Notamacropus eugenii: one gene and its partners. The protein of the gene in region 1 interacts with the protein of each later gene in a pairwise test. Links are inferred from orthologs where the notes say so. Each region holds a gene or a part of one and is shown in the gene's direction. Other genes may lie near its edges.

Evidence for each region. The genes of interacting proteins can lie anywhere in the genome.
Region 2: the proteins of CALCOCO1 (region 1) and dual specificity protein phosphatase 13B-like interact in binary tests that used the Homo sapiens proteins (3 or more experiments, as listed by UniProt). The two-hybrid records come from large-scale screens. The link is inferred for Notamacropus eugenii from reciprocal best matches to the Homo sapiens genes CALCOCO1 and DUSP13B.
Region 3: the proteins of CALCOCO1 (region 1) and CWF19L2 interact in binary tests that used the Homo sapiens proteins (3 or more experiments, as listed by UniProt). The two-hybrid records come from large-scale screens. The link is inferred for Notamacropus eugenii from reciprocal best matches to the Homo sapiens genes CALCOCO1 and CWF19L2.

Annotation. Positions count from the first base shown.
Region 1 is NC_092874.1:226,679,219-226,687,158, reverse strand, and holds the start of CALCOCO1 (calcium-binding and coiled-coil domain-containing protein 1), read left to right. Parts: upstream 1-4,922; 5' UTR 4,923-5,007; intron 5,008-7,940. UniProt on the Homo sapiens protein: Functions as a coactivator for aryl hydrocarbon and nuclear receptors (NR). Recruited to promoters through its contact with the N-terminal basic helix-loop-helix-Per-Arnt-Sim (PAS) domain of transcription factors or coactivators, such as NCOA2.
Region 2 is NC_092872.1:235,270,750-235,278,477, forward strand, and holds the start of dual specificity protein phosphatase 13B-like, read left to right. Parts: upstream 1-4,723; 5' UTR 4,724-4,812; exon of another isoform or gene 4,813-4,832; intron 4,833-5,897; exon of another isoform or gene 5,898-5,960; coding exon of another isoform or gene 5,961-5,983; intron 5,984-7,540; 5' UTR 7,541-7,559; coding exon 7,560-7,728. Other genes in the region: dual specificity protein phosphatase 13B-like, read left to right, coding at 1-26, 501-739. UniProt on the Homo sapiens protein: Dual specificity phosphatase that dephosphorylates MAPK8/JNK and MAPK14/p38, but not MAPK1/ERK2, in vitro. Exhibits intrinsic phosphatase activity towards both phospho-seryl/threonyl and -tyrosyl residues, with similar specific activities in vitro.
Region 3 is NC_092876.1:147,499,836-147,507,382, forward strand, and holds the start of CWF19L2 (CWF19-like protein 2), read left to right. Parts: upstream 1-4,542; 5' UTR 4,543-4,698; coding exon 4,699-4,791; intron 4,792-7,547.

The DNA of each region.
Region 1 (7,940 bases):
TTCATTTATCTATTAAGAGATGGCTCTTGTTCTCATATGTTATTATCACCTTGTGTGGTTGTGTAGTTTGTCCTTTGTTCTTGAAGAGGACCAGATGATGCCATGACTTAGAGATGAACTGGATTTAAGTGAGGGTGGGCTGTGCAAGGTCACCAGCCCCACTTTCTCCTCCAGAGCTATCTGAGTCCAGTGGTCAGATTAGAACAGGATAATTGGAGATGGCCCAGCTGTTATCACCTCCCTTATTATCAAATTATCTTGGTAATCAGACTTCCATCAGAGATATTTGCTGCAAAGATGTTTTCCCAGTTAATTATTTCTCGTCTGGTTTTTAGCAAAAGGTTTCAATTTTGTGCAATCAAAATTTGACCTCTATTCTCTCAACTCCTAAAAGTAATCATTGACTTTTCCTCTCATTTTTCTTGTACTGCTCATTATCTTTTTCCTGATGCACTGCAAGCAATCTGAGCATTGCACCTAGCATAGTACACACAGTAGGTGCTTAATACATGTTTGCATGTGTTTACCATTTTGTTACCACTTACTGTCATTAAAAATAATAACCAACATTCCTATATAATGATTCATTGTTTACTAGACGCATTCCTCACAGTAACGCTACAATGTTGCTACTATGAGTATTATTATCCCTATTTTATAGATGAGGAAACAGAAGGTTGTCAGAGTTTGGGCTTGAACTCAGCTCTCCTGACTCAAAATCCAGTGGTCTTTAGATTTCATCACACTTAATTAAATGTGGTATTTTCTTCTTCCCATACCTTGTAGAGGAGGCAAGAACTATATATTATGTTTCTAAAATATCCTCCCGGACAGCTCTTAGTGTCTTAGACATAACAGGTAACAATAATAATAGCTACCATATAATAATAATAACAGCTAATATTCATATATGCTTTAAGGTGTTATGAAGAGCTTTACCAGTATTATTTCATTTGATCCTCACAACCACCTTGTGAGGCAGATGCTATTATTATCCCCACTTTACATATAAGGAAACTGAGGCAGACAGAGGTTAAATTCCTTGCTCAGGATCACACAGCTAGTAAAAGTCAGAGACCAGATTTGAACTCAGGTCTTTCTGACTCTATACACCCAACACTCTCAAGTATTTGTTGATTTTAGAAGTCTTTTTCTTTTAACACCCACTCCTTGAGGTCACTCTTTCTTTTCTCCCCAGATCTCAAGAGTTAAAAAGTGTAAAACATCTCCCTGAGACTGTTCACCTTGTTTCCAACTGAGGCTGAGTTTGTGCTAGAGGTCTTTTGGACTGCTAGGTGCTTACACTTTGCCCATAGAAGAGGCAAAGACAAGGACACCTGCATCTCTGAACTGCTGCTGCCCTTGATTCACACCCTTTGACACTAAGATGATCTGCCTCATCCCTACAGCTTGTTCCCCAACCCATAAACTCTAATTTGGGAAACAGAAGTAATAACCCAATGTTTTTATGCACCAGTAACTTATTGTTGCTAAGTGCCTGGAGATCAACAGAGAAAAGGGGGCGGGGGTGGGAGAACAGGTACCAGAAACCTCCAATCCCAGACACAAAAGCAAGATAATGAAGGAAATCTTATAAGAGCCTGTATCTTGGGGCAGAAGAGGGGAACTAAAGCCAGTGACCAGGAGGTAACAAGCAAATCAGAAAAAAAGTCTCAACTAGGAGGCTGACAAAACATTTGACTGTCACAGACTAGCTCAGCTGTCCCCCAATAACCAATGATTTTGGTTATTGCCTTAAAAGGTTATTGCCCCTCATCTCCAAAGCTAAAGCGGAACTACAACTGGGACTGACCCCCTAGGACTTGGTCTTTTACAGGACTTTGGCGGCAAGTACCCTCCAACTGGCTTGTTTGGAAGGTGTGCTTCAGGATGACTAACCTAATTCCCATCCCTCACCTCTACTCACCTGCCCACCCTTGATCAACAGTCCTCTCTCCCTAGGTCCCAAGGTCTCACTCCCCATACACAGTGGAGGTCTACAAGTATCTAGAGATTCTTGGGTAAATGCAAATATATCAGCCCATTTGTGTCTGTCAACAGCAAGCATTTATTAAGTATTGATCTCAGATCTCTTTGTCCAACCCTAACTTCTCTCTCTCTTCACAGCCAAACTTAAATCTGCAACTGCCTATTGGACATCTCAAACTAGATATCTCATAGACATCCAAAAAAAAAATTCAAAACTGAACTCATTATCTTTCCACAAAAAACCTTCCCTCTACCCAACCTCCCTTTTACTATTAATGTTATCACCATCCTCCTAGTCACCAAGATTCACAGCTGAGGGTGTGAGGAGGTCAACTTCTCCAAACCATTGTTAAGTCTTATCATTCTGTCTTCATAATATATCTTGAATACGCCCTCTTCTCTCCTCTGACACTGTCATCATCATCATCTCTATTGTTTCACGCGATTACAACAGTCTTCTGGTTGGTCTCCCTATCTCAATTCTCAATCCAGTCTCTCCTCTTCTCACCTGTCAAAGGGATCTCCTAAAGTGCAGGTCTGATGAATATATTCCTGCCCCTACCTTTCAATTTAAAAAAAAAAAAAAAGAGGCTTCTCATCATTTCCAAGATCAAATATGTGTTAGGACAGGTTCAATTCATACCATCCATGTTGTTCGTGAACTTCAATCTTCACCCTTCAGACACAGCAGGAATGAAAAGCAACTGCCCCAATCTGGTCAGTTCTAAAGATGAAGTGTGTTGCCCTTACATAGCTAATCCAAGGAGGTTACTCCCATCTGCATGGGAGGATGGCAGGGGAGCAGGGTGGCTCTATGTTAGGCAATCTAGTGAGAGAAATAGACATGGATACAGCCTAATTCTGCTTTTCTTAGACCAAACTCTGTAGCTTGACAGTATGCTCCAAAGATCTTTTACATATAAAATCCTATGACTTGTTCAAAGTCTTTCATAATCTAGCCCCTTCCTGCCTTTCCAATCTTCCAATGACAAATCTCCTCATTATTCTACGACTCTTCTTGTTATCTGTCCTTTGTTCTCAAAGAGGTCCAATGACATCATAGGGTGATGTCTTGACATGTGTGAACTGGATTTAAGTAGGCAGAGTTGAGCAAAGTTGTCAGCCTCACTCCATCTTTCAACTCTGGGAATTTTCCCTGGTTATCCCTCATGCCTGGAATGCTCCTGATCCTCAGTTCTCTCTCTTGATTGTCCCTGGCTTCCTTCAAGTCTCACCTAAAGTTTCATATTCTGCTAGAAGCCTTCTTGGTCATTTTTAGTGCCTTCCTTCTGAAGTTACTCACAATTTTATATAGTCAACAACAATAAGCATTTATTAAGTAATTATTGCGAGCTAGGCACCATGCAAAACACTGGGAATACTGGGAATGAGCAGACAGTCCCTGCTCTCAAGTTGCTTATAGTGAAATGGGGGAAAGGCAGCATTTAAAAGACACTGACAAGGGGTCATAGTAGAGAAAGTCAAGGAGAGTTAGGACTATAGCCTAGAGAGGAATAAAGACACCGATGACCTGAGCCTCTTTCTTAAATGGGAAGTTCTAAGAGGGACCCCACCTCTCCCCCAAACAGGTGGACAGACTTGGAATATGAGAAGTCCGGGAGTGAAGTGACTTTCTAGGGTAGAAACCTTTTAGGAGAATTGCAAGAAAGACCAAGTTGAGTCTGGAACCCTAGAAAAAGCAGAGGATGTGAGCCAGCCTGTGGCATGACTTTTTCAGCAAGCATGTGTCTCTAGTTTTTATATGGTTGTTTCCACATTTTCTCCCCCACACCCCACACCCCGTACCCACCTCTACCCCCATTAGCCTGGGAGTTGTTTGACCATACTGGGACTGTTTTCTGCCTTTCTTTGTATCCCCAGGATTTAGCATAGTTCCTGGATCAGGAGGTGCTAAATAAATACTTATTGACTGACTAAGCTCTGGGGATATTTTTTAAAGGCAAAAACAAAGTCCACACCTCCAAGGAGCTCACATTCTAACGGGAGAGACAACAAAAATAACTGTCTGTACAAGACATATTGGTGTAAACAAAACGTTGAGGGGTGGGAGGGATAAAATCAGAGGGAAGCAGAGGGTTAGGGGCATAGGTGGATGCTGAGAAAGATTCCTGCAGAAGACAGGACTTAAGCTCAGTCTGGAAGGAAACCAGAGAAGAGGTAGGTACAAAGTCCCAGCCCAAATCAGCTATGTCAACAAGCATTTTTGAAGCACCTAACACGTGCCAGGGACTGGGCTAACTAAGCCAAGAGGGTACTAGGAGGGACCTCGTAGCCACACACAACTTGCCCTCGATCCCTCCCAGGCCAAGAGCTTTGCATGCAAGTTTCCAAAGCACAAACAGAGCCTGCGCATTAGCTCTGCCCGGGTTGCCTCATTAAGATTGGACTTTCTTCGAAAGCCCCGCCCCCACTCCCCTGTCTCACATGTGCGGCTGGAGGTGGCAGACAAACTGGGAGGGGAATTTTTGTAAACACTGGAGGAGGAAGAGGAAGCCGAATGGAAAGCGTAAGGCCTGGGAGGGGACTGCTCCACTGGGTCAAGGCTATCGCCGCTGCCAGTTTCCTAGTCGGTCAAAAACACGTGGTTCCACTGCCTCTTCCCCCCTCCACCAAGCTTGAGGCCCACAGTCAACCCCACCCCCCCTCAAAAAAAATTGTTGTAAATAGCTCAACCCAATTAGCTTAGGCCGCCTGCGCTCGTGGAATTTTGGGAGTTGTAGTTCTACTGGGGAAGCGTCCTCATTGGCCACTGCAGAAGAATGGACTACAGATCCCAACATGCCTTAGTCATCCCAACACTCCTCTCCACCCTCCGCTTCGCACAGCTTTCTGGGTTTGGTAGTTCTAAGACCAGCAAACTTTGAAGCCTGGAAGCGGAGAAAGAACTACAATCCCCGAAAGGCCCTGCGCCCAACTCTCTCCCCCGCCCCTCTCTCAGGCAGAGTCGTGTTTTTGTTGTTGGTGAAAGGTGAGGGGAACAGCTGATCTCCTGGTGGGGTAAGAGAATTTGGTCCTAATTCTTGTTTTGGGGGAAGGGAATTTTATGGAGTCTCACCCCAACTTTCAATCCTTGAAAAGGAACTCTAGGGAAACAGACTTTTTAAAGGGTTAACCATTTAGTGGAAAGAACCCCCCCAGTTTTCCCTCATTGTTTAGGGGCGCCGGGGTTTTGAGAGGTTCCCTGAAATTGGAGGGAGCTCCCCCTTTGCCTTCTCCCCTCCCCTTGGGTAACTCACCTGGAAGGACTGGGTAGGTTCGGTAGGGAGGAACTGTGGGTGCTGAAATCAGGGCGAACCCCCTTTTTGATCATCGGCTCTCAAAGCAGCCATCTCCCTCAAAATCAATTCCAAGGGTCTTCTCTGCCCTCCATGGGCTGGGCACTAGGAAGTTCTAGGATCATGCGACAAGAGTGAGGATCTATGGACCTTCCCCATATGGATGCCCCTAAATCTGATCACATACACACACACCCCTTTTTTGTGATGATGCAGTGCATGGTTTTCTAATTTTTTCCCAGCCATGGAGGAACAACCCAGATTTGATGTAGTTTTGTTGGGGGTTAGAGAGTTGTCTAGACTTCTCCAATTTAGATCCTTGGGAATTAAACCCCGCTCCCCACACCTTTACCCCAACCCTTTAGGAGTATAGGAAAAAAAATGTCCTGCTTGAAGGTAATGTAGAGAATCAGCAGGACTTTAACTTAACTTAACTTTGAGCCAAAGATAAATTAAAGAGTCAGAAGGGTTATATTGCATTTAATTTTTTGCCTGATTTCCAGAGAAATTTTGAACCCTTTCCCCAGTGCCAGATGTACTCCCAGCTACTTTCTTCCTGGGCTTGTTTGGGGGGGGGATTTTAAATTTATTTTTTCACTTTAAAAGTCTCTGCCCTGTCTTCCCCCTCCTGGCACCAACCAGTATGGGTCTGTGATGTTTTGGGGCCTGCACATGACTAGTGGCGTTTCCTGATTGGACACCCTGTGAGCTGTGTTGCAGACGTAGATGGGAGGGAACAGGCAGAAAAGGGAGGACTCTAAGTTCTGAGTAATAGTTTCTCTTTTCTAGTCTTCACATCCCATCTTCTCTTACCTACCCTTCTACCCCCAGAACACTCCTGCTTTCATACCCTGTTCTGCAGCTATCAGTTTCAGAGGAGTAACTGAAACATTTAGTACTGAAAACAGCAGAAAGTGGAATGGGAAGGGCTTGGTCTATTCTGGAGCTAGATTTGATTTATTCTGTTTGAAGAAATCAGGAGGTCAAGCATCCCAATGGGATGGTAGGTCAGAGGTCCAGGAAGCAGGAGATGTCGGTTTTGTTCCATCTCCTAATGCTGGAAATGAATCTTTACCTTCCCACCACCCCCCCCACAGTCTCATCTGTGCCCAAGGGTGGGGTGTTCCTGGCTTCTGGCCCCTGCATTCCATCTCCCCCATCCCACCACGTTCCTGTCTGATGTTTCACTCCACCCAGAAGCAGCCGCCTCCAGGATTCCTGAACTTCATGGGGTAATATTTAGGGAGTCCCAGCATAGAGTCAATCCTTCTCTACCTTTTCTCTGTCTTATGCCTCAAATAGGAGTCGGGATAGTTGGGTTCCTGAGAATTTATAAGGATTAGACATTCATTAGAGAGGGAAAGAGGGACCCCTGACTCAGGGGCATAAGAATTTCAGTTTGGACACTCCAGGCGGAGTTCTAGTCCTGGACACTCAGCCATTCTTGTCCATTGGTTAATTCTTGTTCAGTTGTCCTTAGAGTATTAGAGCTGCAGCTGTGTCAACAGCCCCAGGAAGTGAGTGAAGGGGTCAGTTTGATTTCCAGGGAGGGGTTAGGAAGGAGAGTACCCCTTTCTGCAATTTAATTCCCTAGTCAAAAGCTTTGGAAATTAAGGCCTTAAAGTAGGGGCAGGGGGAGAAACTGGAGCAATGGAAATGGGCTGTAAATTAAAGAAAGTAAGAGTGAGCAGATAGATGTGAAACCTGGAGCTGAAGGGCAGGGCTGGGTGGAGTTAGGGGCACTGAGCTTCCGTAGGGCAGGGACTTCAATGATGGAAAGTACCTGTGAGCCTCAGACTGAAAGGGGCAGATTGAAAGACTGAATGCCTTGGTTCTAAGAACCAAGAGTGATGATATTTGGGTTCTATGCTCTTAGGACCATGGTAATTGAGATTCCTTGGTCCCTAAGTCTGGCAGTTAGTATAGTTGTGTATGAGGAAACAGATTGGGAAAGATGTTAGCTTTGAAGCATTAAACCCCTCGTTAGCACCTAACTACTGGACATCTCCACCTGATGGCTCATAGGCATCTCAAAGGCAACATGTCCAAGCCAGAATTCATTATCTATCTCTCCTCATCCCAACCCCCCCAAAAAACCATTCATCTTCTTGACTTCTCTGTTTCTGTCACCACTGTCTTTCTTTGTTCTTTTCTCTCTCCCTTATGCCCCCATCCCACTCATTGCCAAATCTTGTCATTTCTACCTCAGCAGTACTTCTTGCATATGTCCCCTAGTATTTACTCAACCACCTACTCCAGGTCCTCATTACCTCTGGCCTGAATTATTGCAGAATCCTCCTAATTGGTCTCTCTGATAACAGTCTCCTTTCAGTCTAGTTCTTTCTCCACACAAACTGCCAAATCAATATTCAGACCTCACTCATCACTCCTCTGCTCAAGATGCTTCAATTGCTCCCCATCACCTGCATCTTAAACTCTTTCCGGTTTGGTTTCAAACTCTCTTTCTAGATCTAACCTATTACTTCTCCCAATGTCCTTCTGACCAAAGTAGTCTTCTCAGCGTTCCCTCGACATGATGTTTGGCCTTTACACAGGAGGTCTGTTCTCTGTACCTGGAATCTTCTTCCTCATCTTGGCATCCCTGGCTTCATTCAAGGCTCAGCTCCAGTACCACTTCCTGCTCAGGGCTTTTCC
Region 2 (7,728 bases), on another chromosome or scaffold:
CCAGGGAGCACTGGAGACCTCAGAAGGTAAGAGGGCAGGCTAGTGGGAAGCCCAGATCATATAAGCACTTCCCTCCACTCCATTTCTCAGGATCATGCAAAGATGATCAAGAACAGGAGTCAGGCTAGACTTCAAGGACCCTAGGGCCTGGGGTTTGGTGGGATTTAAGACCTATAGCTGCCCCAGCTTTTCTGTTACATTGGGCTGTAGGTTCCCAGTCTGTAAAATGGATCAAGGACTCTTCTTTCTTGTCCTTCCCTTTATACCCACTTGAGGCTGTTCTCAATTCCCCATCTTCATGGCTTGGTTTATTGAATTTGGTATCAAGAAAACCTGAGTTCAAATCCAGCTTTAGATACCTACTAGTTGTGTGACCCTGGGCAAGTCACTTAATATCTGTTGGCCTCAGTTCCTCATTTGTAAAAGAAGAGAATTGTACTTGATGGCCTCTAATTTCTAAATCTCCATTTCTAAATCTCTGATGCTCTGATTCTTTCCAGGGAAGGTGCTTGTTCACTGTGCCATGGGGCTCAGCCGCTCTGCTACTCTGGTCCTTGCCTTCCTGATGCTCAGGAAACAGCTGACCCTGGTAGAAGCCCTGAGGACAGTAAGTGTCCATCGAAACATCTGCCCCAATCGGGGGTTTCTTTCCCAGCTGCGTGACCTGGACCTCCAACTTAGCCAGGAACAGCAAAAAGGGAGCAGAGAGAAACTGATGCCACCCACCCCTCTGCCCTGAAAATAAAATGACTGTTTTTAAAAAATATCAAAGGTTTACTGACATTTCACTAGGTTCAAAGGGTCTACCAATGGGGTTATCTTCCCTTAAGAATGTATTGGAAGGGTGCAGATCTGAGAGCTAGGACTTTTTTTCATTTAGAACTGTGCACATGTGTACCTGTGAAGACTGAAGTTGGCAGGGATCAAAATGGTGGAGAGACACTGTGAGGTGAGATAGGAGAACTTTGCCAAGGTTCCCTTTGAGATATTTTGAGAGATTTTTCAAAGGTTCTAATGGGTTGGAGATGTGAAGACCTCTGAGCAGGTTCTGGTCACAAACTGAATTTCTGTTCAGGGTCCAGGAAATATACGATAGTCATTCCTCTGTATAACCTTTCCCAAAAGCCACTTCTCTGAACTCTAGGCTGCAAACAGTGGCCCATCCTTCACCTGGACAGAATTATGGGTCAGATTCTTACAGAAAGGACATCTAGCTTTTGCAAAGCATAGGCCAAGGAACTGGACTTCATTTCCTGGCAAAATCCTCCCAGGCTCCTTGCTATTTTCACCTGTGATGTGGCATCCTGAGGGTGAACACAGTCAACTCAGTGAAGATAGAGGGCATAATAAGCATTGACATAGCACCTACTATGTGCTAGGCACCATGCTTTACAAATATTATCTCATTTGAATAGCATTCAAGCTTCTCTCTTTCCACACTTTTCTTAGCTTTGCTCTCTGCTCATCTTTCTTTGTGGTACAACCAAGGGTAGAGGGGGCAGGGGAAAGGAGAGAAGGTGTAACAGACCAGGAAGGGACTGGACATCCAGGTGGCCAAGAACAGGTGGTCTGTTGGTGAGCCCAGTTTCCTTTCTCCATCACACCTCCAGTCCTAAGTGGTACAAGACCATAATCATGAGCCTTGTTCCATTTTGTTTTCTACCCTCTATTTCTACATACTAATAAAGACTTGAAAAGAATACCCACACATTTTTAAATCCCCTTGGCCAGAGATTAGCTGCTTACAGCCTTCTCCTGCATTCCTCCCACCCCCAGCTCCCAACAATCATTGACACATACCATATATATAGCTGAGGCTGTGGCTAGACTTGCCGTATCCTCAGTGTGCAGAGTTCTGATTATGGGTCAGAGGGGGTGGTGGCAGGTGGCAGGTGCCAGGACTGCCAGACAGGGCTCAGTCTCACACCCTTGCCATGCCATCATCTCTGCAACTTCCCCTCCTGGGAATGAACGGGACTGATTGCCCCGGGTAGGGTGGGTAGTAAGAAGAGGAGGGCGGAAGGGGGGGAAGCAGATCATGGTTTATAATTAAACACAAATCCAAAATAGAAGCAGCCTCAACAGAGCAGAGACAGGCAGCTGGGAACCTGCCTATTGGGAGACTATAGCCATCGGCTGGAACCAGGCTAGGCCCCCTCCACAGGTGAGTGCCTCCCCCTCCTCACCCCATTCTAGGCATGCCTCGAAGGGCACAGCCCCTTGGTAGCATGTGCTTGGGGGTGGCAGGGACACACGTGGGTTGTGGTAGCTGGCTGTGTGGGGAGAGTTAGAGCCACCTGACCCACACAGACAAATAGATAGGAGTCAGAGACAGAGGAAAACTGATAGTTAACAGTGTGACCCATCACCCTTCTCTTCTCAGCACAGACAAGACAATCCTGAGCTGTGTAATTATATGAGGATGGCAAAGGAACAATTAATTACACCTGAGAGGTAACCTGATAGTGTGGTATAGTGATTAGGGAGCCAGTATGGTATAAGGGAAAGCACACTATGTCTGTAGTTTGAAGTAGTGGGTTCAAATCCTAAGTCTGTCACTATCTTTAAATTATTTAAATTCTTCTAGGCCTCAGTTTCTTCATCTGTAAAATAGGGAGAGGCATTCATAGCATATCAGCTAGAGAACTGATCTTGAAGTCAGGACAACTTGGGTTTAAGTCCTTGGCCACGTGACCCCGGATAAGTCACTTAAACTCTTCCTGCACCAGGTGACTCCCTGAGACTGACTTATTGAGTTTTCTCACCTGAGAAAAACCTTTACCAAAGAAATCACCAGCTCAGTCCTCATCCTCCTCCCTCACCCAAAATCAAGAGAGAAGACTAGACCACTAAGGTCCCTTCCACCTCTGAATCTATAGTCTTCTAAGTGTGGGACTTGAGATAGGAAAGATCTGGAGTGGAATTGTTTCTTCTTAAGCGAGTGATCCTGGGCCAGTCAATTACCTCCCTTGAGTCTCAATGTCTTAAGTTAATAATGGATGACCCATGGGTTCCTCTGTTCTCAGATTTTTAGGGATCCGTGGGGGAAGGGAGGGAGCTTCTCAGATGAAAGATGGAGACAAGGGATGGGATTGAGGGTAAGAGAAAGGGAGCTGCCCAGGAGTGGCTGACCCTGGATGGAAGGCAGCATTTCTTTCTACCTGTGAGAGAGAAGGTTGTAAGAGCCCTCATGATTTCACTTTTTTATATCAGGGGTTCTTAACCCTTTGTATGTGCGTGTTTCCTGGACTGCTTTGGAAGGATCTAATGAAGCCTGTAAACTCCTCAGAATGTTTTTAAATGCAGAAAATAAAATACATAGGATTATAATACTTATGCATAGGATTAAAATATATAAGATTCAATACTTATCAAACTATTAAAAAAAAATCACTGACTTCAGGTTAAGAATCTCAGAATAAATTTTCTCTTTTGAAGCTCTTTACAATTTTATCCTCCCCTAGGCTAGATTGGATTATTTTCTATAAGCACAAATCCTGACCCTTCAGCTCCCCCAGACCAAAAATCCCAACAGAAATGACTTGGATCTGGTCTTAAGACAAGGCAGAGGCTAGGAGCAGGCCAAAAGCAGCCCAGGGCAAACAGCAACCAGTGTAGAGATCTGCCTCTGTATTTGTTTGCCCCTGGAAATCCAGAGCCTCAGTGCCAACAGGGTAGAGGGGGTGGGTGGGTGGGGAAATATCCCTTGGAAGAATAAGGATTCCCCTGTTATCCTCATCCCTTCTCACCCTGATCAGGGTAGTCCCTGGAAAGGATCCCTAGGATCCTTGATTTGTAATTAAAAGGAACCTTACAGGCCAGAATTAGGGATCTTGAACAAGAAAGGACTTCAGTAGCCATTTTACAGATGCTGAACTGAGAAAGTGACTTGCCCAAGGTCTTACAGGCCACAAAAATTAGAGACCAATTTGAATCCTCTGTTTCCCTGGGCTAGGTTAAAATGATTTCTCTGGTGAGAAATGGGGAGGGCCTCTGAAGCTGTCCAGGATTTCTCTGCTCAAAAATCCTTTCTGCAGCGAAAGGTGCTAAGCTGTTGGTTGAAGTGAGTGTCCCAGGGGAAGGAGGGTTGTTGTATTGTTTAAAGGTCTTCTTGGGTCTGAGATATTGGGGTTTCCATGCAGTTGGGCTGCAGAGCATGGGGTTGGCCACGGGAGGGTAGTCTTACCCTATGTTTGATTCTGGGAGGCCAGAGAAAGGCTTGGCAAAGGGAGAGTTGGGTGGGACCAGGTCTCTCCATCAGAATTATAGCAGGGAGACAGAGTGTCTGGATTCAGGGGGCAAGAGCTTCCTGAAAGCAGCCCCCAGACTCAACCTGATCAGAATCAAGGCTGCAAGAGCCCTGGGATGACCAAGCCTGGCCAATTGGCGGGGCCAGTCCCTGGTTACCTCCTGTTGTTGGTGGTTTGTTATTGGCACCCACTGTAACCTCCCTTCTTTCCTGCCAACACCCCTTCTCCGGGGCCCCTTTAAATGACATCATATGAGGCCGCTTACTCTGCAATCTGTCCTGGACTAGCTGATGAGTACATCGATGCCTTGAGACAGCTTGATGAAGCTGTAGCTCAAGACGGGCTCCTCTTCTGGGCAGGGATAGCTCAGGGCCTCCCTCCTCCCTCCTGCTCCCCCCTCCCCCCCCAGAAACTTCCATGTCAACCAGCTGGAATTCTAGACGCTTCACAGCATCTGTGTTCTCAGATGGAACCTCCACCCCCTGTTCTGATCCCTACTGTTGAGTCCAGCACTGCCCTGGCCCCCAGAGCCTCCAGACTCAAGCCCTAGACCATGCTCTAGGTAGGTGGGGTCATATATAGGTAAGATGCCCATTATTGGGGAAGGGTTGGAGGTCTCTTCCAGGGTCAGGCAGTACTTCCGTGGGCTTGAGCTTAGTTCCGATTTTAACCTGTGAAATCTGCAGAACCCCACAGTCAGTGTTTCCTGGGAGTTCAACTCTCTGGGTCAACAACCATTTCTACCATCAGCTGGCTGTAGGAGTTTGGACAGGTCATTCAGGTTCTATAGGTTTCTCTTTACCCCTGCTGCCAGGTTTTAAGCTGAGATTATAGGCCTTTATCCCATCAAGTGGAAGATTTCCTCTTATGTTGTCCCATATGTGATTACCCTGAATGGGGGGGGTGGGGTGCTCTGAGAAAGAATGCACCACCTCCAACCTCCATCCCACATGGACTAGCCACAGTATGCAGGATGGGAGGTCAAAGCCAGAGGGACACCAGACCCTGATATATATGACCCCATAGCTTTATAAGCTCCAACTTCCTTAGGATTTCTTTGTATAGCTAGCTATCCAGATAACCCACTTTCCTGGACAAGATACAGCCAGTGTCCCCATTTCTGTGCCCACTAGGGCCCTGGAAACATACTCTGTCACCCCAGAATAATGGTTCTGGATACAGTTCAGGAATTTAAAGAAGGAGAGAAGGAAAGTTAAGGCTATGTCTAACCTTTCCTCTATCAGATGGGAAGGTTCACTGCTATCAGAGGTCAGGGTCTCAATGGGGAATTGAAGGATGGGAAGTTTATGACTATTTTCACCAGGAGTCCCAGGGGCAGAGTCAGCAAAGAACACCTGATACTGGGAGAGGAACCTGTAGAGTCCTGTGGTTACATCAGCCACACTCTTGGGTACGGCCCAGGTGGCAGACAGAGAATAGAATAGGACATTACTGTCCCTGCTCCAGGTAGAAGTCACTTCAGTTCCTAGCTGCTTCAGCCTCATGTGAGTGTGGTCCCCAAGCTTACCTGGGAAAATTGTGAGAAGGATTTGGATTCCCTTGCCTACCCCCTACACCCAGGGCCAGGTGCCCCTTGGGTCTAGGGACTTACATGCAAGTACTGTATCCACTATGTACTATGAAAAGAAGCCCAGGAGACAGCAAGCCTTCCATGTTTACTGAACTCTTCCAGCCTGGCTTATTTCCAACATGAGGTGGTGGACCTGGCCCAGGTAAAATTGGTTCTTGTTAAAATTGTGAAGTCACATCATTTTCTTTTAGACACCTTTCACTCAGCTTGTATCCTATCCTCTGAGTCTTGTCCAACTCATCAGCTAGTTGTCATAAAGGTTTAGAATGACAGCCTTAAGGTATCACCCCTCTCCAAGGCAGCAGACAAGGCTGCTACTTGGGAAAAGACTAGTACGTATTCCTACAAATAACAAATTATATACCCCCTTAATTTCCAAATTGTTCCTTGAACTCATTTCCCTTTATCTCCTAAATCAGGAGCAGCCTAACAATCAGAACAAGAACCCTGGTGTAATAGAAGTTACAAAGGAAGCTTATAGCTTTCCTTGACTGGTAGACCTTTTTTTTTCTTTTTTCTTTTAATAAAACAATACTTTGAAGTTCAGTTAATGGAAGACAGTATATATTCCATAGTAGTAATAATAACAATAATAAATTAAAAAAGTCATAGAATCACAGAATTTTCAAGAGGGAAGGGTCACATACTTAACCCTTTTCCCCAGGATGCTTATAGATCATGTCCATCCATTAAAATGAAGGAAAAACAATTCAAACTCCAAGCTAGTCCATTCCAATCTGACTCTCAGGGAGTTGGGACAAGGAAGTTGATTAGGATGGGAGGGACTGAGGTCCCTCCTTACTTCCAGATTTCTGGTCCTGTTTTGCTGAGGAAAGGGAAGTGGGTTTTGCTGAGGAGTACATTAGGGGAAAAATCACCTGTTCAATTTAATTCAGTACCTACTATGTGCCAAGTCCTGGGCAATCCAAGAATGATATTGTCCCTTGTCACCACTGCACTCTGCTATCCATGAGTAGGACTCTGGAAAAGGTCTAGAAAAGGTTAGCTTGACCTGTTTAGGCCCCAGACAAGTATGTGGCTAAATTCTGTAGCCAATGGGCCACAGTACTGAGATCCTGGGTGGCCTCTACTGGGTGTTAATGGGCAAGGAGGTGCTAGTCTATGAGAAGAAAGAATGGAAATCTAGCTTCCCTTGAAACAAACTGAGAGCCCTGAGGGGCAAGGGATGACATAAGCCCTGCAAGGGTCCCTTATCTCCTCTGTCTCATGGCTAAGCCCAAGCAAAAAACGCTGGGGAGGCATTGGGCAAGACCCATAGCCTTGCCTCTGTCTTCCTGATCCTAGCAAAATGATCTCTATTTGCCACCCAGGAAAGGCAGAGGTGAAGGAAAGAAAGTTGGTATGGAATTACATAATGGGAGAGAATTTTAAAGATCACCCAGTCCAACCCCCTTTTATACTCAGAGCCCCATTCAATTAACTAAACTCCCAACACCCATTCATTTTTCCCAAAGCCATTTCCCAACTCCCCTTCCATGGTTGATTATATAAAAGTCTCTCTTCTCTCATCTCTTCACTGCTAAGAGAGACAGATGTCTCTCACTCCCTCTATAAAAACACAAACAAAACAAAAAACCAGGTATCTTTCCTCGTGGTGATGGGAGAGACAGCTTTTCCTGGATTCTGGGACTTATTCCTCCTCCCCCCTTCCCTTCCACTTCCCTCCTCCCTCCCCCAGGGCCTGCACAAGGACAACAATGGGATGCCCTCCCCTGTTTTCCAGGATGGACTCACTGCAGAGACAGGACCTGCGGAGGCCCAAGATCCATGGGGCAAGCCGAGTTAGCACGCAGAACCTTGTCCCCTACCAGACACCCACCCTGGCCTACCTGCAGCGCCTGCTGTGGATTCGAAGGGCCTCCTCGA
Region 3 (7,547 bases), on another chromosome or scaffold:
ATTTCTGAGCAGCTTTTTAAAAAGACTCTAATGTTTACCTCCTGGTGTAAGAAAGGGGCTAGAAAAGGTACCCTAAAAATTGTTTGCTTCACCCAACCTTATGCTTCTTGCTGGGGCAGGAAGGACCAGCTTACAAATGCTGAATACATAGTATCCTCTGTGAAGAGGAGCACCATGAAGTTGGCTTACATTTTGCAATCAGATCTAATCAGCAAGCTTTTATGCCTCCCAAAAGTAGTGAATAACACGCTCATTGAATGCAGCTGCCAGTTACAGGAAAATGCCATGCCACCATCATCAGAACATATCCTCTCACCAAGATTAATCTTGATAAGTTCAAAGAAAAATTTTATGAAGACCCTGGGTACCCTCATAACCAATGTGCAAAAAGAGGGCCAGCTTGTAATTCTGGGTGACTTTAATGCCAGAGTAGGCACAGATTATCAGATGTGGCAGGGAATCCTCAGGAGGATGTAGCACCAATGTGATATTCACAGTGCCTATAGCAGCCATGAATATGCCAGCACAATTCTGAATTGCGAAATACCACAGACTCTCCACATGGAAGACAGAGCAAAACATTTACTCAGACACAATAACAACGCAGAGGGCAGCACCACCCTAAAGCCTTCCCTCTTCTAGGCTTCCCACAAACCAGCTCCATTAGACAAATCACAAGTAGACTCCCTTAAACAAAATCACAAACAGGCTCTTTCACTCACACTAGCCAGCTGCCTGCTTGCTTGGATCCTTCCTAGCTCTGACTGCTCTGACCAATCTTTTTCTCAGCTCTGCTCTAGCTCTACCTCTTCCTGTTCCACCCTTCCTGCTCTACCCGTCCAGCAAGCTCCTCCCACAACATGTGACTTAGGCTTCCATGTGATTTAAACAGGTCACATGGACTTGTTAATAGATGGGAAAGATCTTCAAATTAAGCAAAATATTACACTAACAATAAGCAAAAATGAATTATCAATACAGAGGAACATAGCCAGAAATAGCAATATCAATGGTCATTTACTACTGAAGACTTGAGTGTTTCACAGCTTTCTCATCGTCAACACCGCCTTCTGTTTACCTACATTCAACAAAATGTTTTGGATGCACCTTTGTAACAAGCACTGACTATATCATTATAAGGGGAAGAGACAGGCAGGAAGTGAGAGTGATGAAGGTGATGTGTGGCACACAGTGCTGGACTGATCACAGACTTATCCTTTTAAAGCTAAAATTCCCATGCAACAAAAGTGGTGGCCCCAAGGCAAGACAACAGTCAGGAGACTCAACCTCAACAGATCAGAGTGCTTCTGCTTTCATAAAGTTTATTGCTGACCTGAAGGGAAAGCAGAGTCAGCAAACAGCAACAATGGAGCAGAAAAGGAGTGGGTAGCATTCAGAGATTTGGTGTATGGCACTGTATTTGCTCATCTGGGCCAGAACATTTGCAAACATAAGAACTGGCTTGACAAAAATGATGGGGAAATTAAAGAAGCTGTTAGACAAAAAAAGAGAACTCTACAGTGTTTGCCAGGAAGACTGTTCATCTGTCTCTAAGAAGGCAGTATTTAACTCTATCAAAAGTAAACTGAAATCAAAGCTTAGAGAGATGTTGGATTTTGAATTCAGTAAAAAGGGAGATGAGATTCAGTTTTCCACCAATAGCAAGTATCCCAAAGTGCTTCTATGATGCCCTGAAGATTATTTATGAGCCAAAGACCTCTGCTGCATCTCAAGAACTCAGCACTGATGGAGTCACACTGATTAGTGATAAGGATATGATCCTGAAGAGATGGGCTGAATTCTTCTATAGTGTTCTCAACACATCACCATCAACCAATGCTGAAGCCATTGGCTGTTTACCTTAGGTTGAAGTCAATCCCTCTCTAGATGAACTTCTAAATGAAGGAGTACTGAATGCCATTAGGCTTCTTTTGTGTGGCAAAGTGCTTGGCACTGATTCCATCCCAGCAGAGATCTACATGGCGGACAGGTTCACTGTTCATATAGATGCTGACTGAAGTCTTCCAGGTTATGTGGCAAGAGGAGGTTATCCCTCAGGAGATCAAGGATGCTTCCATTGTCCATCTCTATGAAGGAAAAGGAAACAGATTATCCTGTGACAGTTATAGGTGTGTGTTTATGTGTGTGTGCATGTCTGTGTGTGTGCGCGCGTGTGCGTGTGTGTGTCTTAGTCATTGCTGGCAAGATTCTTTCCAGAGTACTCCTTAATTGGCTGATCCTTCATGTGGAAGATAGTCATCTACCAAAGAGCCAGTAAGGCTTCAGAAAGGGCAGAGGAAACGGCATTATTGTGTTTGCTGCCCAACAACTCCAGAAGACATTTCTGGACCCAGTGTTTGTCGACATGACCAAGACCTTTGAAACTTTGATACCTGATACAAGGCCTCAGTCATGAGATCTTATGGAAGATTATGTTGAACTTTGGCTGCTTGGAGAAGTTCATCAATATTGTACACCAATTTCATGATAGCATATTTGTGTAAGTTCTTGATAAAGGACAATACTCTCATGCTTTCCCAATTATCAGTGGAGTGAAGCAGGTTGTGAGCTTGCTCCCATGCTTTCTTAGCATTGTTAGCATTTCAGCAATGATGTTAGATGCCTTCAATGAGGGAGAAAACAGCATCAAGGTCAGCTACTGCACTGATGGCAAATTCTTTAACTTGAAAAGGCTACAAGCTAAAACTAAAGTAGAGGGAGAGTTGGTACACAACTTTTTGTTTGCAGATGATTGTGTACTCAATGCAGACTCTGACGCTGAGATGAAACAGAGTATGGATTGATTATTTGCTGCTTGTGCTAATTTTGGCCTGACAATCAATACCAAGAAAATAGAGGTTCTCCCACCAGCCAGCATTTTTCCATCCATTCATGAAACCGTTGGTTAACAGTGAATGAAGAAATTTTTAAAAAATTATTAATTTATTTATTTTCAGTTTTCTATAATCACTTTCATAAGTCTTAGATATTTTCCCCCTCCCTCCCAAGAAATTTTCTATAGTGTGGGGAAATTCACTTACCTTGGTAGTATACTTTCCAGGGATGTTAGGTGATGAGGTTGATGCATACAGACATTGCCAGAGTTAGCCCAGTGTTTGGGAGGCTCCAAAATAAAGTATGAGAGAGAAGAGGTATTAGGCTACATACCAAACTGAATGTCTACAGAGCCATTTTGTGCTGACCTCATCACCATATGACTATGAAACCTACCTTGTGTACCAGTACCATGCCAGAAAAGCCAACTGTTTCCATCTGAATTGTCTTAGATAGATTCTGAAGATTACCTGGCAAGATAAGGTATCAGACACAGGTCCCTGAATTATTGGCATTACAACTCTATGGCAGAAAGTGTAACTCCAATAGGCTGGTCCTGTAGCCCAAATGTCAAACATATGTTTACCTAAAAGACTATTTGGCTGAGAAGTCTTCTAAGGCAAGCACTCACATGGGGTCAGAAGAAGTGGTACCAGGACACTCTCAAGGTCTCTCTGAAGAACTTTAGTATCAAGTGAAACATGGGAGACCCTGGCACAGGACTGCCCGGCATGGTATACCTGCATCAAAGAAGGCTCTGTGCTCTAAGAACAAAGCAGAATCACAGGAACACAAAGCAAATATGAGAGGTACAGATCTAGAAAAAGCCATCCCAAATGTTCAAATGGCCTATTTGTAGTTGGAGCTGTGGTAGAGAGAGTCTTGTGAGCTCCCATCGGACTGATCAGCCTCAGTCAACACGCTGTACATCACTGTGCCCAACAGAGTGATGTCATTGGTACTCCACAACAACAACAAACACTGTGGGAATTAATTTTCTTTGTATAATTCCTCTGTGTAATTAGTAATAATATAATTATTCTCTGTATAATTAGTGGTGAAAATGGGAGTTTTTTGAGGGAGGCGTGATAGTGGGTGGAGAGGAGTTGATGTCTAAAACTTTGGCAGCAGAGCGCAGCGTGGGGAAGCTCTAGGTCAGAAGGGGGGAGGGATCCCCAAGGTCAGAAGGGGGGAGGGAACCCCAAGGCTAGAAGGGGGGAGGGATCCCCAAGGTCAGAAGGGGGGAGGGATCCCCAAGGTCAGAAGCGGGGCTCAGAAGTTAGGGGTGAGCAAGGGCTCGGAGTCAAACTTCATGGTTTTGCGGAGGGTCGGTTACTGATACAGGGGTGCCCCGGCTGCGAAAGGTGAAAAAGAGCATCGACTTTCCATAGCGAGCAGTGAGGTCCATGGCAAGACAATCACATTCTCGGGTGCCCGGTGGCATCATCCCTTCCGGTAACAGCCTCCCTTTAATGCTAGCAAACCTAGCCCAGAGGTGAATACGCGGTGTCCCAAAGGTCTCACAGCAGGTGGGTCAGCTGACTAACTCCTTTCTCCACCTGCATTTGCCTTCTCCTCCCAGGATTTAGCTAGACTCGAGGGAGGAAAAGACCCCACTCTTGGAGAGGGAGAGAACAATTCCTCGCGCGCATACCCAGGACTCTGAAGTTCCAACTCTCCTTCCCATAGGGCGCCCCGCCCCTCTCCGTCCCGCCCCGCCCCTCTCCGTCCCGCCCCTCCCCTCTCCGTCCCGCCCCGCCCCCAGGGACTCCTGAGAGCGACGAACCGGAAGGTTCGCTTTTACGACTGTCGTAAGCCGACTTTTACGACGGTTGCCTTGGGAACTTTTCCATAACAACAACGATGGCGGCTTCCGGTGGTCGGTTTGAAAGCGCTAGGAGCATCGAAGAACGGAAAGAAGAGAAGCGGCAGGCTCGGGCCGAGGTCCTGCGACAGGTATCTCCGTCTCAGAGCATCCTTGTACCGTCGTTCCCTGTGCCCAGGGCGCTGGGGGTCTGGGGAGCCACCCCTCCGGCCACCGCCTGCTTCCTCCCTGTCCCCACGCTCTCTTAGGGGCCGCTCTCAGGCCTTCCCGTCCGTCAGCTCCCACCCCGAAAGCCCGCGGTCGCCCCCGGTCACCCCCGGGGTTCTCGCCGTTTTAGACCATTTAAGCTCAGACCTCACTAAGGCTTGTGGGGACCCCTGATTTCAAGTCCCGCTTACAAGTACAAGTGTTGGAGCGTACGGACAAGAGGCCTAGAAAAGGGGAGGAAGGCTGCCCAGGGGTTCAGGCCTCGCCTCCTTTTGCTGTCGTTCTGGCGAGTTTTTGCGATCCAGTCCCATTCAGCGTCCTCTCGCCTCCCCAGCCTCCCCCCAGCTTCTCCCCTTCCCTGTTTCTCTTCTCTCTTCTACCCTTCAGCTTCCTTTCCCTATTTATGGCCTTTTCTTCTGTCTTTCTCCTCTTAACTGTTTTCTCCTTATCTTCCTTCTCTCCAGAAGAAGACGATTTGTGTAATGCGTATATATAGTCAAGCAAAACAAACTCCATTACTGTCATATCAAAAAAAAAAAAAAAAGATCTTTCCCTGCATTCTAAGACCATCACTTCTCTGGGCTCCCTCCCTAGCCCTCTCCTACATTTGCACTATTTTCCCTGCCCTAGAAAGTTAAGGATTTCCCGGACCATGGGGTAGGCGTCCTGATCACCTTTTTCTTTGTTTTTCTTAAGCTGTCAGATATTGAGAAACTGCACCTTCAAAAAATGTTGGATGGAATAGACGTTGTGAAGCTCTTTAATTTTTCTGAAATGGAGGATGGACAGAAAGATTCTGAGCACTAAATACATCGATTGTCTTTGTGAATTTGTGAAAACTGGAAGTGCCAGTTTTTCCTTTGGAATTTTAATCTACTTGTCCAATATTTTTTTTCCTTACTGAGTTTAAATTTCCCTCAGATAAAAGTGTATTTTGCAAAAAAAATTTTCATTTGAGATAGTCATAAATGGGTGAATATATAAATTGGAGTTAAGTAAGAGAGCGTTTCTGAGCAGTTCCATAGATTTTTTAAGAAAAAAAGTTATTCTTCATTTTATTACATGGTAAATTCTTGAGGCTGTGCCTCAGTTGAAGGTTCAAAAGATTATGAGAGTTTTGTATTTCTAGGCTGAACTAGGAAAGATATCTAGATTAGCTTTTTCAAAAGTCAGTGTGGTTTTGCTTAATCACATTTGTAGAAAATAGGTATTACTGTTTCTTGCTCTGTGAAAATTGAACCTGGAAGAGGATTTGAGTCTTTTCCCCCCTCTTTTCCTCTATGCCTCTCTTGATTACTTGTTGAAATGGTGCCATTGTTGCTATGGTTATGATTTTGAGGATAAAAAATAATAATAGCATTTATGTGTCATTTTAAGATTTACAAAGAGCTTAGAAATTAGGAGGTCATAGGATTTAGCAAGGGAAGAGACCTTGTAGACAGCCCAAAACTCTTATATTACAGACAAGAAAAAGAGGCCTAGAGAGGATAAATAGAAGAGACTGAATTTGAATCCAGATCCTTTGACTCCTGTTTTCTGCTACAACAGTAGTTTTACTTGGTAGGCACAGTTATATTGACTTTCATATTTTTTTATGTAGCAGCATCATGCTTGATTAACTTAGTTTTCTTCTCAATGTCATTGTGAAATAGCTTTTACCTCTTTTATTGCTACATGCTAAAGGAACTCCATCCACTTCAGTAAGCATTTATGTTCAAATCACTGTGTTAGACGCAGTGGTTAAAACAACAACAAACAAAAAAAGTTACATAGACGAAAAAGGGCACATACCTATCATCACATCTATTAGGGGATGGAATGGGGGGGAGACACAACATGTAAGAATAGACAGCAGATAAGTACAGATACAGATACAGTGTAATGGAAAGGAGGACACATTAATTACTGAGGGAATAGGAAAGAGTTTTTTTTGTTAGAAGTAGTAAGTACTTAAGTGGAGCTTTGAGCCTTAAAATGAGGTGGAGCAGAGAAGGAATGTATAACCTGTGTCAAGAAAGAGAGATGTAATGTTACAGACAGGAAACAAATACACCCATCTGCCTGGAATGTTGGGTGTATGAGAAGAAATATGAAGTCAGTTTGACAGAAGATAGAGCCAGAGAAACCTCTGATATTTGTTTGACTCCTGTTCTTTAAAAACTTTGGAAGTCTTTGTAAATAGGCATAACATGACACTATTTGAATTTCTCATGTTTTCACCTCTTTGTATGTATTGAAGAACTCTAGAATAAACAAGTTTATTTAGGTTAAAATTTTATATTACATACACCTTTTGTTCAGAAATCTGACTTGCCTATTGTTCATCTTGGTGATTTATATTATTTTTAGTGAAGAGTTTACACATTGATATTTAAACATCTTTGACTTTTTTGGCTGTTTGAATTCTGGTTATACAATGGAGAAAGATGTTTGTGGAAGAATGACAGATACTAGTACAAAATTTTGACAGTGTGGACTTACCAAAAGATAATCTATTAGATGTATTATTTGTTGAGTTGTGTATTGATTCAGCCATTCTGGAGAGCAATTTGGAACTATTCCCAAAGGGCTATAAAATCACGCATACCCTTTGACCAAGCAATACCACTACTGGGTTTGTATACCAAAGAGATAAAAAAGGATAAAGACCCATATGTACAAAAATATTTATAGTTGCTCT